Linked DNA regions of Mytilus edulis. Each later gene encodes a partner of the first gene's protein in a complex. Links are inferred from orthologs where the notes say so. Each region holds a gene or a part of one and is shown on either strand. Other genes may lie near its edges.

What was found. Proteins that work in one complex are often made in the same cells at the same time.
Region 2: KAT8 regulatory NSL complex subunit 3-like (region 1) and KAT8 regulatory NSL complex subunit 2-like share a complex: the UniProt entries of both Homo sapiens proteins name them as parts of the NSL complex. The link is inferred for Mytilus edulis from reciprocal best matches to the Homo sapiens genes KANSL3 and KANSL2.

The regions. Positions count from the first base shown.
Region 1 is NC_092347.1:90,585,679-90,593,995, reverse strand, and holds the start of KAT8 regulatory NSL complex subunit 3-like, read right to left. Parts: upstream 3,572-8,317; 5' UTR 3,465-3,571; intron 2,534-3,464; 5' UTR 2,499-2,533; coding exon 2,341-2,498; intron 720-2,340; coding exon 555-719; intron 1-554. UniProt on the Homo sapiens protein: Non-catalytic component of the NSL histone acetyltransferase complex, a multiprotein complex that mediates histone H4 acetylation at 'Lys-5'- and 'Lys-8' (H4K5ac and H4K8ac) at transcription start sites and promotes transcription initiation.
Region 2 is NC_092345.1:56,707,350-56,715,953, forward strand, and holds the start of KAT8 regulatory NSL complex subunit 2-like, read right to left. Parts: upstream 3,282-8,604; 5' UTR 3,209-3,281; intron 3,031-3,208; coding exon of another isoform or gene 2,888-3,030; exon of another isoform or gene 2,854-2,887; intron 2,691-2,853; 5' UTR 2,590-2,690; intron 1,655-2,589; 5' UTR 1,648-1,654; coding exon 1,412-1,647; intron 1-1,411. Other genes in the region: cyclin-T2-like, read left to right, coding at 2,888-3,030, 4,740-4,821, 5,369-5,491, 6,034-6,094, 6,926-6,988, 7,704-7,749, 8,439-8,529. UniProt on the Homo sapiens protein: Non-catalytic component of the NSL histone acetyltransferase complex, a multiprotein complex that mediates histone H4 acetylation at 'Lys-5'- and 'Lys-8' (H4K5ac and H4K8ac) at transcription start sites and promotes transcription initiation.

The DNA.
Region 1 (8,317 bases):
GTAAGCAAAGGTTCTAAATAAGCAGTAAAATGCAATGTTTGAAGCATGATCTCCCCAGTATGAAATGACAATGAAAGTGACAATGATCACATGATTATGTGCAAAACTACCATTAGTATCTAAATATGTCACGCATAGATATGCACACATAAATATGTCACACACAAAATGTTTTCACGTCATACATTTGTTAAATCAAATAGGTTACAAATATTATGATTGTTACTTTTTTAGGTCTATAAAATCACTGTTCAACTGATTATTAATTGAAAATTGAATTATTTCATGTCTACCAAAATAATCGATAAATCAGTGATAAAAAGTTGTTTGTGTATTTTTTTTTCAAATTTTATGTATATAATAGTCTTGTTTAACTCATTGATCAGATAAAATATCATTCAAATGTTTTAAAATCTATTCATATTTCTATAGAAAAGAATTATAAATGAAATATTGGTTTCTGTCTGTTTATTATAAAAGTACAATTTATTAAACGTGAAATGATTGGAAGATGAAAATGAGGTGTTACCATGATCCCCATGAAATCAACAGACATTTGTTTAAACCTTGAAATTCTTTCTTCCCAGTCCTCTGGGCTTTCTTCTGTTCTCATTAGGGGTACATGTCGTCCACACTCCTGCATTAGACTCCGGGCTTTAGCTGTATCATATGGTGGCTTGCTGGGCTCAGTTACTGTACAAACATCTATTTCTGCTTCCCTAAAATACAAAGCAAACATTAGACTGTTCGTTTTCCCGTTTGAATGATTTAACACTAGTAATTTCAGGGCCCTTTATAGCTTGTTGCTTGGTGTGAGCCAAGGCACTGTGTTGAAGGCCGTACTTTGACCTATAATGGTTTACTTTTATAAATTGTTATTTGGATGGAAAGTTGTCTCATTGGCACTCACACCACATCTTCCTACATCTATGTTTATAAAAGTAACAACTGTTAAAATGTTCTATCAAATTTCAAGCACATATTGATCCAACACATTTGAAGAAGTTTTTCTTTAATCATCACTTTCTCTTCCCCTATCTTTCCTGTTTGTTTGTTGGTGTGTTGTTTTTTTGTTGTTTGTTTTTGCATAGGTGGTATTATAGTTGATGCGTGTGAGTTATGTCATATTGTGTTTGCAAATTTATGTCTGCTTGTCTAAAAAAGAAAGTGTGATATAAGTCACTATGAGGCAACTTTCTATCAGAAGACTGAAGGACAAGAATATAAAAGACTATAGGTCTCCTCTGTTGTTATTTTCTCTCATGCTGTCAATATTATTGATACTTTCATTCATCAAAATACATTCAACAATTTTGTAAGTTTTTAATTCAAAGGATCTTTTTTTAATACATGTAGGTGCAACTTTTCTCACTTACATTTTAATTCTTCCTTATGCACATAATAAAAACAAGAATGTGTCCAAAGTACATGGATGCCCCACTTGCACTATCCTTTTCCATGATCCATGGACTGTAAAAATTGGGTAATAATCTAATTTGGCATTAAAATTAGAAAGATTATACTATAGGGAACATATGTACTAAGTTTCAAGTTGACTGGACTTCAATTTCATCAAAAACTACCTTGACCAAAAACTTTAACCTGAAACTCCCACTTTCATTTTCTATGTTTAGTGAACCGTGAAATTGGGGTCACAAGTCTAATTTGGCTTTAAAATTTGAAAGATCATATCATAAGCAACAAGTCTACTAAGTTTCAAGTTCATTGGAATTCAGCTTTATCAAAAACTACCTTGACCAAAAAATTTAACCTGAAACTCCCCCTTTCATTATCTTTGTTCAGTGGACCGTGAAATTGGGGTCAAAAGTCTAATTTGGCTTTAAAATTAGACAGATCATATCATAAGCAACAAGTGTACAAAGTTTCAAGTTGATTAGAATTCAGTTTCATCAAAAACTACCTTGACCAAAAACTTTAACCTGAAACTCCCCCTTTCATTTTCTATGTACAGTGGACCGTGAAAATGGGGTCAAAAGTCTATTTTGGCTTTAAAATTAGATAGATCATATCATAAGCAACAAGTGTACTAAGTTTCAAGTTGATTGGACTTCAGTTTCATCAAAAACTACCTTGACCAAAAACTCTAACCTGAACGGACGTACAGACGAACTGACGCACGAACGGAGCCACAGACCAGAAAACATAATGACCCTCTACTATCGTAGGTGGGCATATTGTAGGTGGGGCATAAAAACAATTTCAACAATTTATTTACATGAATGAACCAGCTAGCAGTACCTCACATTTTATCAAAGATCCATTAATATAAGGATAACAACCGTCAGCTTGCAATTGAGTTTATTTTATCATAACTGTTACCTGTTTTGTACGTGCATTTGTGTAAGATGTGGTAGCTTTGGCATATATAACTTTTTGATAGGTCTGGCATTACTGGCATCAGGATGAGCACTCCATGGCTTGGAATAACAATGGTCCATGGATACTGTACTGCCTCTGTCTGGTTGGTAAATATCCATTTTAAGCAAAACTTATACCTCTACTGAAAAATGATCTGAAACAAAAAATCAAAATCAAGCTTCTGATTCTGCGGTATTGGATCCAGAACTGAACAAAAGTATTCTTGTTTGGGGCAGATAAGTGCTAAATACTAATTATAAAGTTTACTTTATATAGTTATTATAATTTATATCAGTCAGGAACAATTTGTGAATTTTATGATATCAATAATTTTATAATTAACTGACCAGTATATAACAGAGGCTAGATCAGAACTTTTATTTATGTCAAGACCGCCACTATTTTCATTCTCTAATAATAGAGACCATCGTATATACATATAATACAGCAAATAAGAATACTTATGACGTCTTGAAAGGCTATTTTTAAAAAATTCTGTGACGCCTTCATATCATATCATATTCCTAATTATTTTGAAATTATGATTGACTATCATATCTTTACGATAATTATTTTTACAAGGACAATCAAATTGAATCCTCACCCAACACAAAAGGAGTGCTAGGACACTGGGAAGTCTTTTATATGGGGGAGGAAGCTGGAGTAATAGGAGAGAACCACCAGACCACTGGGCAGAAACAGACAACCTAAGAGATATCAGAGGATTGATCTCCAGGTCAAAGTAGGGGACAACTTTGACCAGCCTAGGCGTCCAAAGTACACATTCTAGTTTAATGGTCTAGGTACCAGAGAAATGTGTTGGAGGGTGAAAATCACCCTTGTAATGTACTGAAATATCTAGCACCCCGAGTCAGTATCGATCTCGTGACCTTCAAGCACTGTAGGAATCGGTCTTAACCACTAGACCATGAACCCACACTAATAAAGTAAATTATATGATGTTGATTGTTGTGATGTTCAATTTAAAATGTTTTGAGATGGTTTCGTCATAGAAAACAGCGACCTTTTATATATCAGGATCAAATTTTTGACGGCGACAACACTGCCGTCATTCAGTTACTTACAAATAATTGGGAATGCTGTCTTATGTAGCATTCATACTAAATATATCGACAAAATAAAATTTAGCATTCCACGCCAAAATAAAAAGGTGAAGGTCAAATTTCTAAATGTGTTACGATTACGGAATGGATATAATTTTTTCCCGGAATCCACAGCTTCGTGTGATAAAAAGATAAAAAAAAAAAAAAAAAAAAACCTAATGAAGGCATTAATGAAACTATATGATGAAGATAAGAAATAAAAAGTGATGGTTATCGTCATGTAATGTCATTTTAATGTTATAATTAACATTGCCATTAAAGCGGGAGGTTTGGCATGCCACAAAACTAGCTTCAACCCATCTTTTTTTTTCTTAAAATGCCCTGTACCAGGTCAGGAAAATAGCCATTGTTATGTCATAGTTCGTTCCTGTGTGAGTTACATTGTAATGTTGTGTTTCTGTTGTGTCGTTATTCTCTTATATTTTTGATACATTTCACTCAGTTTTAGTTTGTAACCCGGATTTGTTTTTTTCTTTATCAATTTATGAATTTCGAACAGCGGTATACTACTGTTGCCTTCATTTATGTATCATAATTTTTATTCATGTTTTATGTGGCATTCCTCTATTTTTCCCGTTAACAGTCATGGTTGTTCTTTTCATACATGTACTTAGGTCATGGCACAGTTTCAAGAGATTGAGACTTTTGTTTCTTTATGTCTTTCAATATAATTGATCAGTCACTTTGTCCTTTTCAAATTAGTATAAATGTTCATCATTAACTATACTTTTTATTCTAATTCTGCTCTTTTCTGGCTCATAAGTGTCATTTTGGTATTTTTTATGGAGTAAATATATTATTAAAAATTTGCTATACTCCACAGGATCCAAATTGGATGTTTACACTTTTTATTTATTACATTAAAAGTCCATTCATAGACTAGTACTGGACTTCTGATTACATATATATCAATATAATACATTTTTTTTATAATATACTTGAATGATAAATTTCAACTCACTGATGACAAATGCTCATTACAATGTGTACAAGATAACTTGTTTAACCAGTGGAACATATTTCACAGACAAGGAACTTATTTCACCAAGTGAGGAACAAATCTCACAAACCTAGAACTTATTTCACCAGGTAAGGAACAAATATCTCAAACCCAGAATTTATTTTACTAGATAAGGAACAATTTCATCTACTTGGAACTTATTTTATAGAGATGTAACAAATTATATAGAAATCATCTGTGAAAAAAAAGTTCTCCCAGAACATATTTCCTGTGATATAAGTTCCACTAGAACTTTTTTCACAGGAACAAATTTTGGCTCACATCTAATGCATCTTGGTTCTTTATTGGACCATTATCATAACAAGAGGATAGCCTGTATAGCTAACTTGGTTGAAAGCTAGTGGAGACCTTTAAAATTGGACTTGCATGGTCTTTTTGTCTTGCTGATTTACTTTGCTATTTATATTTTTAAACTAGTTCCTGTATATTTTTTTATGATCACTTTTGCCATTTAAAATTTTAAACTAGTTCCTGTATTTTTTCAGATAAAAAATGGGAAAATAGGTAGAAATTAATATGACAGCATCAATATCAAATACAGAATGCCCAGGTTAGATAGAACTTGTCCTGTTGATCACTTCTGTCATTTTTTACTTTTAACCCAACGAGAAGTGCAAAAAATATTAGGGTCAAGTAGTGATGTGTTTAATAGAAAACTAAACAACAACAAAAGCTTAACTTTACAACTTTGTAACGCATGCATTAAGCTTGATTACATTTTATATCCTTTTGTAATCAACTTGCACAAACACTGTATATTTTCTGACCCGATTACAGTGGATTTCTTGAACAAATAACTTTTTAAATTCAACCACACAAGCATAATATGTATCATATAAAAAAGAAGATGTGGTATGATTGCCAATGAGACAACTATCCACAAAAGACCAAAATGACACAGACATTAATAACTATAGGTCACCGTACGGCCTTCAACAATGAGCAAAGCCCATACCGCATAGTCAGCTATAAAAGGCCCCGTGTTTTCATGTTTTCTTTAGAAAAATAACCACACTTTTTCTAATACATGAAAGGCCTGGAGATAGTGCAGACCTGTCCAAACTGTAAATTTTGTTTCTGTCACAATGACCAGGAATTAATGCTAAAACCATGCTAGCTTTTATGTAATATCATCGGTCATATATTTGTATGTTGTTTTTTTTTATAATTTAACACTATTTAGGCTGATCAGATACAATTAATCGTGATGTGTTGCCTTGATTTTGAGTGTTGGAAATATTATATATATTGATACAAAATATAAGCCTCATTATGGTTTCAATTTACAAAACTTACTTGATAGCCAATAGATTGAAGACCCTGGTTAATTTATACCATATCTGGTTGTTGCAGTTTTATAGCAAAAAATATTGAAACACATACAATTAGCTTCTAAAAAAGTTGTGTAGCTGGTCATGAAGCAGAATATTCTTGAAATTCTATTAGCACCTAACTGTTTCTTAACACATAAAAAGGAAACCAGGAATCACAAAAGTATTGGACACCTTTACCATGCCCTACGGTACCATCAATAACAGACTCTATTGAGAAAGAAGACATACAAACTAAGACAAACAATGAACGACAGATCTATGATATAGGTATTATAATACCGGAGTGGTGTAGTAAAGTCAGTTTTACATGCCCATAAACCTCACCATTTGTCTATTTAGACCATGATATTTAATTATACCACACAAAATGTAGCTACCAACAGAATGACCACTAACTTGATCAAGGAAATAAAAGGGACACTTGGTTATATGGAAAACAGGGTAATAATTAGAGTTTGATATCTGGTATCAACAACTGTTGCTCATTGAGGACCTCTCATAGACCTGTGATTTACTTTTTATTCATATTGAGTTGATGTCTTAAACACATGTACCCTAAATCTTTTATATTCAGTAATACGAATTCTGTAGTGTAACTGAAGTTCAACTTTGATTCTTTGTGAGATTACCAGACTTTCTGTAATGCTATCAAATATTTTGAAGAAATGAAAATCTTTCAACTTTTTAGATTTTGAAGGGAACAAATACAAAAATACAACTAACTACAATCTACATCAAAATTAGGTTTATTTTCTGATTTATTTTATTTTGTTTTGTATTCACATACATCTTTACAAAATCATGATAATATTAATAGTTGAATTAATCACATATTAAACAATATATTAAAGATATTATTGCTAAAATGTATAACTTTCATTATTATGCATGACACATTCAGCCAGAAACCAATTCGTTCATTACTAGTAGAGGAAACAAACAACATGAAATATATAGTACAGACTTCATTTTTATTACAATGGAAAAACAACTGTTCATATTTATTTGAGTCATTTTCTAAAAGCTTCTTGTCAACAATCTTCATTTACTTCGAAAAAAGAATAAAAAAAGATACCATGTAACATGCTTAACAGACTCACATAAAAAAATAAGTTCTAGCAATTTTCAATCTGAAATTAATGTTCTAGCACAGCAAAAAGTAATAAAATAATCAATAAGTCACATTAAAGAAAGACAGGAATAAGTCAATAAGAGTCAATTTTTTTTGGGCAAAATTATTTTTAATTGCAATCCTGAATTATCTCCCTTATAATTGGTATAATTCTTTATTCATATCAATAGAGTTTTGATACTGAATAATAAAGATGTCAAGCTTATTCAACACTTTAAGAGACATACTTAAAGAGTTCATTTAACAAGATGAGAATATCTATAAAAGGTGCAATCACATGCTGGATATATACCAAAGCAGTAGAGTGTAATAGCAAAGAAATGAAAGTTTTGATCTTATTCTTCAAATCAGTTTATCAAAAGTACTAAATTATTAAATTAATGATAAAAGTAATGAAATTAAGCTTTCAGGCCATCAACCTATTCTCTGAAATTAATTTCTTATCAAAATGATTAAAGACTACTGTTATGTGGTTTATGTTGGTGTTTTTAGAATATTATGATAAATAATGTAAAACCTGTTCTGTGAGGTTTAATATGTTCAGGCATTATTTGTCTTTGATTTTGATCATCTCGAAGTATAAAAATACACAAGGGGAGATAAAAGTAAAAACTGAACCCCTTACCAATATTTTCGACATACAGATGGTATTATTTTAATAGATGTTTTTCTTCCTACACACTATAAATAGATGACATGAAAGTCAAATATAAATGTATTATTGGTATTTCACAGTGAATTTTTATAAAATATGTAAATATATTAAAGGATTTCCTTATATACTGTTAGTTTTCAAACATCTACTAAAAAAACAAATGCTTTTAAATATAACAAAAAAAATGATTCCAACATGAAACATTTACACATCAGATAAAAATCTTAAATTGTAACATACTGTTCTTCAAAAAAAGAAGTAATGCATATAAATTTGGCCCCAAATGATCTCAAGGTTTTACAGACTGTCTCCACTTTATGATTGAAATGTTGTTGTTTATCCAAACATCCTGTATATGTACTAAATGAACACCAATCTTGGCAACTATCATATAGGACATTTTTTTCTAAAAGAAAGATAAAATATGAATTTATATGACTCCTTAGTCCTTAACATAAACTAGATAACAAATGCCACTTTCTTTTAAATCCCAATATTATAGGTCAAGTATTATTACGTGAAGAAGAATTACTATAAAAAACAACTTCCTCAGTAATTATGGTTCTTTGCTTGTTTTTGTATACATCACATTGAAAACTAAATAGTGTACAGTAAAGGTGTCATATTTTGTAAAGGCCCTCATTAACATTCTAATAACCAACACTATTTTAT
Region 2 (8,604 bases), on another chromosome or scaffold:
TTGTTTTTTAGGTCAAAGGTCTATGCCACAATGATCTTATCTCCATGAAAAATCGATTTTCCCGGAGAACAGTTTTGCACCTGACATAATAACTTTCCTAGGGTCAAGGTAAGATTGATCTGATTTTGATATTGTTTCACATCCTGCTCCCATGATGATAAATATATACATTTATTGTATAGCAATATAATATTTCCCACAGAAAGTAACCAAAAGTTAGCGTGCAATAAATTCTAATATTGCACTAGTGCAATAAATCGTCAAAACTCATGACGTCATCAACGACAAAATCTTAGTTTAAACCAATTTTTACTTTCAAATATTATATTGCTATACAATAAAAGGGTTATTGCATGAATATTGGGGAATATTGTCCCTTGTAGAACATATATTGCACTCGCAAGCTCTTGCAATATAAAATTCTACTCGGGACAATATTCCCCAATATTCATGCAATAACCCTATAGTATATGTATTCTGCATACATTATTATTACAGTACATGTATACAAAGTTTTGTCAATTAAGCTACAATACAAAAGATTTATATGTAGTGCACAGAAATCAGACATCATTGTTTCCTATCATAGGGGTCAAAGGTCAAATCTAGGTCTGGATGACATGACCTTGATATATAACATCCGCCCACAACCTCATGATGTAATTGCATAACATGATTGATCAGCCTAAGTTCTATGGCTCAAAGTTATGTGCAGGACAAAATTCAGACAATGTTACTCATGTTGCTATCATAGGGATAAAAGGTATACATTATATAAGATCTGTTTTAGGACTGGAATATGATACAGGATTCTTTTGCTTTCAAATTTTAGGCACCATAATCGATCACAATCTGTTAATAAAAAACATCTTTTTTAATCAATCTAAATGTCATTTTAAAAAAGAAGGATCCATGATGATAGGAGATTTGAACAACCTTGACTGACTCCCCAACTGTTGCTTACAGGGCAAGGGTGATCAGCTTGGCAGCCTGCTTACCATGACGTTGTATTGTTGGTAGATGAATCATTGACTCTGTAGTAGATGACTACAAATTGCACTAAAACTTTGATACAGCTAGCCCTTGGATGTATGGACAGCATAATTACATGTATGACACTCACCCATTAAAAATGGGTTTAATATCAGACTCGCTGATGCCGGTTTACTGTATGAGGGCCTTATAAACTAATTTGACTTGTAACATGTTTTAGTTAACAGATAATCAGGACCTGATCCAGCACGTCCTTTCAGCTGTAATGACTGAGACATTACTGAGGATTGGAGGGATCCATGTACTCATTTTCAAGCTTAGAGCAGAACAAAATGATCAGTAGAAAAAGTAGGGAAGGTAAGAAAATCAAGCAAGGAGGCTGACAGCCATGTAGTGAAAATGGACCATTAATACATACCCATCTCTTTTATCTGTTTTAGGAGCAGCATTAATACATCGTTTGCCATTCTTCAAGGAAATAAATCCACACTGTTTGTATGGTCCATTCTTGTCTTCTAGAATATGCTTTATACAATATTCAAATCCTTCTAAGCGATTGTGCATACATGTTCTATGGGAATAGTTACAGAATACTCCTTCAACAGGCTGCTTTGTTTTTCTAATCTGTGGTTGTGTTATTTTACTGCGTATCATTGTAATTCTGAAAGAAAAAATACATAAAAATATTTAGATGTATTAAAACTACAGATATTTATTATCCCTGTAGGTCCACATATGCAAGGCTTTCCACCTATAAATTGCCCCCCCCCCCCCTTTTTCTCATAAAAATCCTAAAATTAGAGATACAGATAAATATCTACAGGGGTAAATTCAGTAAATAAATATACGTCATCAGGGACCGCCACATATTGGTAAAAAGTGCTCTTCTGATTGGTAGATGTTTGTAATAAATATTTTTGGATAGACAGATCAAAACTAAAGTAAAAAAGTAATTAAAAATAAATATTGAATGTACCTATTATTTTTACTACAGTGTTAAAAAGTCTTGGGGGTCAGTAAAGGAATTAAGTGTGAATCTACAGGGTTTGTAAACAAGGCCATGAATGCCAAAAAATGATGCATGACCCTATGACTATTTTTTTATTGTTGCAAAAGATAGGGCTACATTTGTACTTTCATGAATGATATATGAAAGATTTTAAATTCTAAAGGTAAATCAGGTATAAAATTCAAGACATAGATTAGTATTAAAGTCAATGGGGGATTTTTTTTAATGAATTTAGCACTACAAGAATGTGGTACCAGTGACCTACTTTTTTTACTAAAAATTGATGACTGAAAATTTAACAAATTTCCAAATATTTACACATAACCAAGTTTCTCTTATGATCTTTCAAGTTCATGCAATTTTAGGCATTTCAACTTGTGACTCTTTTGTTTCAAATGAGCTGGTTTCTTTTAGCGTAGGTGTTGGATATTATAAAAGGTAAATCGGTCAAATCTTCTATTTTACTATTTGTCTTGCGTTCTATCTGCAACTGTCATTTCAGTAAACTAAATATACGCCTTCCCGAATACATAGTTGTAAGGAAAATAAATGAAATACATTTTCTATGCATTTCATGTCAAAATTACCTGAAATGCGAAGTATTTGGAGGCTATGTTACACAGCTACTGTCCTCTTAGTGTATTGATATGAATTGGTAAAATGTTTACATCACAATTTATTCTTTAAGCTACAAGTAATTAAAATAACTATATAATATTTTTTGTAAAAATCAATGAATCTTAATTTTAAACTTCTTATTGCTCAGAGGACAAAACAAAAATATGCAATTGATTTTAAACCAATTAGTGTTGTCTATAAATTCAGTCCAGTCCTATGAATTTCGGACGAGCATGCGTCCTTTCCATTTTCCTCGGAGTTGTGTAAATGGCGGGGGAGCGATGGATATTCACAAAAGAACAACTTTTGAATACCCCCAGCCGAAAGAGTGGGATAGAAAACGACAAAGAACTTATTTATAGGCAACAAGCTGCCAACCTTATCCAGGATATGGGACAACGGCTCCAAGTGTATCCTGTTTGAGGGAAGGGGGCACACTGCAAACATCGAGACGCGAAGTTCCAATGAACATTTTTCTACCGACGTCACGTTTTCACTAAACGGATGATCACATTGAGCATAAATTGAATAATTTTTAATAAAAATAAAAAAAAAAACTAAAATACCAAGCAATGAAGAAGTCCTTACCATTTGGTCTGAAACTCTTCTCAAGACCGACCATTTTCTGAAAATGAAGTCACGTGTTTTCAACCATGTGACTCCTTGGCACATGTGTTTGTTTATAAAAACTAAAAAATGTACATTGCCTACTTTTGAATTATTAATTTATATCTAGTTCCAAGTTTACCAGAACTTTCATTTGCCTATGTTTCTGAAATTCTGATTTTTATACACCTGAATAGTATGTAATGATTCTTGTCCTTGAAAATAAACTCATAGTACCAGATGAAAACCACTCTTCTGTTCAAACAAAATAAGATAATATTTTCCAATATTATTATATGGAAAAGAATATAATTGAAATTTTATTCTAAATAAGTAAAAAGGAAGTGCTACACGAACAGTATATAGATAGTTAAATACCCAATTCATGTTCTTGGTTTGTCTATATATATAAGTTATATTAAAACCTAATATTTGTAACTATAAACAGCATTGACTACTTAGATGGGTCTTGCATAGTCTGGTTCTGTAACCTATTATAGATGCTACCAATATAGCAATCACTGCTTTAAGATTTATATACGGTCAATATCGACTTTCTTCTTCCTTTTATTTATACCATCGATCTAATTGCAACAGTTTTTACCTTTCACAATGAAGAATAACACAATCGTGTACAAATTAGTTCTATAAAAATTTCTGTGACACTGTACAAGCCTTTTGATTTCAAAATATTGCTAAATAAGCATATATGGATCTTCATAATCAGTTAATAATAATAGTCAGATGTCAGATTGGTCATTGTTATAAAAAATAGCCAAAATATGTTTTCTTGTATCATGATCATTGATTTCCGGGAAAATTTTTAGCTAATTCTGAGGTCTATTTTCTGGGATTAAATTTCTTTCATTGTAGGAGAGGAATGAACAAAAGTAAATATCCTTAGAAAAGACATAAATGATATATCTGTTACTAGATTCTAATACATGGATAATTATACATTTATAAAAGTATACAGAACTGAAAGTAATTGTTGTTCTTTAGTGTCATAGGTTTGTTGCTAGTACATGTTCATCTATCAAAAATATTCTTGCTTGCAGATCTGTTTCTTTTATAAAGATATTTCATTTACCTAATAAATAGACTTAAAAAATCCATGCCCTCCAGGAACTATACACTTGAAAGTTATTAGATTATTAATCGTTTACATTTGTAAGTAATTGTGCCCATCACTGCTTGAAACACAAGTCAAAGTGCATGGCTCCCTTTAAGGGAACACAGTTGTGTGCCGTTATGCTGAAAAAGAATTCTGAACAGTGTTGTATTCATGAATAGTGTCTATAAGTTATTTGTAGCACCTCTTTTAAATAAAACATTTCCTGCAGAAAAAGGGTAAAATTTCATGACTAGTAATAATAACACTGGTGAATGTATATCAAGTTGTAACTTAAAGATAAATAGTGGGAGAGTTTGTCTCTTGCTCTGTACAGGTGACAGAAAGTTTCCTATTGTACATATATTTTTAGATCAAATTTTTCCTTGACATTGATTTCAGTACTCAGCTATGTATCAACACCGCCATCGTTTACATGCACAGATTTTATATGTTCCACTCATTTCAAAAGTTCCATCGCAATGTAAGTTTTTAATTAACATTTGTAAGGGTGGGGGGATATTGTGTTATATATATGAGGGAAATAAAATGTTGGATATATTGTTGGAAGACAGCAACTGATGTAAAAAAAAATCAGAAGGTGTCTTAGAGGTCATCATGGGTTCAGCAACACTAAACAAGTGTTCCACTTTAGATTGTTTTTCCATGATCTACTATTAAATCCAAATTAAGTAGATGACAAAAAAGAAGACATATTTAACATTCCTCTCAGATCAGAGAAAAAGTAGCAGTACAAATTACTTAGCAGTACATGTAGCTCGCACAACATCTTGTTTTTATAAGTCTTCCCAGCCAATTTACCTCAATAAAATTTTTTGAAGTTTGTTTTACACTAAGACTTGTTTTTATAAAACTTTCCAAACAATTGAGCCCCTCTAAAATACGGTTTGACCTTTATTATAATGATTGACATGACAATTTTGTTTTTCATTTTAAACTACATCAATAAAAGATTTGTACTTTCAACATGTCACCATAATAAAGTTTTGTTATTGATATTTTTCTCATAGGCAATGGCAGCAGCATGTTTGTTTTTAGCTGCCAAAGTAGAAGAACAACCTCGAAAATTAGAGCATGTTGTCAAAGTGTCCAATATATGTCAGAATAAAGAAACTCCTGACACTAAAAGTGAAGTAAGTATTTCATATGCTATTCATGTACATGTAGGGTCATTGTTTATATACTATCTGAAATTTAAACCAGATCGAAAATTGTTGCACTTAAAGATGATTCAGTATTCTAGCTAGGTTTATAACATTGTACATGTAGTTTCATGTGATAAGTTAGTTGACAAAATTAAAAGAATATGTAAAATTTTCGCCATCCAAAAACAAACTACAATATATTAGGCTTGTCACTTCAAACAAATGTTGATCTCTTATTTAATAAAAGACAATTCATTTCATTCTGTCATATGTTTACATTTTGTAAGAAGAAAAAAAACACATTATATAGTAATGTCTTGTGAAAATTGATACTAAATACAATGATCATATTTAAACAAAAAGTGCTTTCTGACACCCTCCATTACAAATATGAATGTCACTTGCTTTCATTATGTATAAATTTTTAAAACTGCATTCAGCATTTCACATTACATGTTTTGATTTTTGAAGCAGAAAGCATTCTATGAAACTTCATTAACTTAAAATCTTGTATGTTAATGTATTTTCAGGAATATTTAAATGAAGCTCATCAACTTGTTATCAATGAAAGCATTCTATTGCAAACTCTTGGTAAGTAATGGTATTATAGATATAATTTTATTGTTCTGTCATAAGAGTTTAACAGTACGCTATACAGTAATACAAAATATTTTAAAAGAGAGGTAATGTCATCTTTCAGTTTCCTATTGTAACCTAATAAAATACATTTGTATCATTTTCTTCAAAACTACATGTCAAACCTGAAGAAAAATGCCAGTTTCTGTTGAAAACTTATTATTTGCTGGATACCAATTTTTGTTGGTTTCGTGTGTACTTTATGTATCTTGGAACCACAAATTTATAAGTACAACGATATACAAAAATTTTATGATTATATAGGCAGGCTGACAAAACCATGAAATCAAATATCCTCGAAATTGCAAGTATATCTCTAACAATGAAAATTTGTACTCGCCAACAAAAAAATTATTCCACAGTTATACAGAATATTTTACTTGGGCATGAGAAGTAATGTCAACTTTCAGTTTCCCATTGAAACCTAATGATAAATCACATTTGTACCATCTCCAAAAATAGATAGTTACAACATCTTTTTTTAATGTCACTTGTAAAATTAATACCTATCAACTAAAGTATTCTGAAATATTCTTCTTATGGACCAATTGCTACCAAACTTTAAAATGCTGACCATGTTTAATTATAAAGAATGACCATTTTTATATTCTGGCCAAAAATACCAAGTAGGCAGTTAACTGGTTTTCAAATTATGGTCTTTTCAATTTTAGTTTAAACCTTAGAATATCCTAAATAATTATCTACTGAACACATTTTGAATGAGTTTTATATTGTTTCCTTACAAGAAGTTTAGCATTATAACTAGTACTGTATTTTTTTATACAGGTTTTGATCTGACAGTAGACCATCCACATACCAATGTAGTGAAAACATGTCAGCTTGTAAAAGGTAAGAAAAAACATATTACGAAATCTGAGGATAAGTACATATAGAGAGACAGAGTAGTATTAATATTAAACCTCTGGAAAGCAGCACACAAGTTAACTGCAATTTTCAACTTTACACTGGAATTCGATACATTTAAAGCTAGAAATCACCACATCTAAAATAAATAACAAGTATTCATAATCCTTGGCTTTTCAATTTCGTGGTATTAGCTTTCCTGATGAAGGTAAATCCAGAAAAGCATTTTAGACATGCCAATTTATTAGGTGTTCATTCTATTCCGATTTCATAATTATCACATTGGGAGTGCTAGGTCGTGTGATTATAATTATATTGCGTCTGATTAATGTACTCCAACTTTGATTCAACCAATCAAATTTACAGTTTTTTAGTGTTTCAAGCACACATTTTTTACCTCCTAGTAATGAGTGAAGATTTATGATTGAGGTCCCTTATCTTTGCCCATATATTATCCTGAACATACATGTAGACACATTTGAGAATTCTTTTCAACATCATTAATAGTATCTTCAAATTTACATCCAATGTTGGAAACTTTTAAAGCAGTTGTTTATTGTGAATAATTGACAGACAGAGTTCTTCAACTTGATGTAAATTTTTATAGCATTTGAAGGTTAGGTTATCAAGCAGCAACATGTATAAGGTGTGTTTGTCCAGACTAAACTTGAATTTTGAATTATAAATTTCTATTTTACAGCTACAAAAGATCTTGCACAGACCTCATATTTCCTGGCAACAAACAGGTGAGATTTTATTCTGGATATGAATAAACGAAATAAATATGCATTAAAGCTGAAAAATCGTTATTATAATATTAATGCACAGAAATTGGAAAAAATTGTCCCGGGCAAACTATTTTATAGTATGAATGTGGATGTAGATAAATAGTTCTTCAGTAATAATCGGGATGCTCTAAATTATGACTAATATAAATAAAAATTGTATAAGCAAAATTTTTGATTATCAGCCATAAAAATGTCCCATTCACTGGAAGAAAACCAACTGATTTTAAAGACATGTTCATTGCATGGAACGTAGCTAAAAATATACCAGTTGTTCTCATTTTACAATGGCCATAAACACTACATTAAAATGTTGCAAATGAACCACTATGTTAATGATTCCTTTGCATCTATTTCTTTTAATTACACATATTATAAGAAGGTTGATAGTCAATGCACAAAAGTCACATACTTGTATATAACTGTGGATTCATTATTATGATGATGGGGTCATTATTTTCGTAGATATTTGTGGGTTATGGTTTTCCATGAACAATTTAGTTTTTTACACACTTGATTTCAAAATTTGTGAAACCAAGAAATCTAGTACTGTATCCTCAAAAAGTTTGAAGGAAAAAAATAAAAGAATCCACAGTTTTAATGTTTGCTCACCCATGCAAAGAATATTGAATGGTGAAAATAAATTTCAGCCTCCATCTGACCGCCATGTGTCTTCAATATAAGCCTACTATTGTAGCCTGTGTATGTGTTCATCTTGCCTGTAAATGGTCAAAATGGGAGGTGAGTGACATGCTGTTCATTTTAGTGATAAATGTGATGATAAAGGAAAACATCAAAAGTAATGCAGTTAATCAA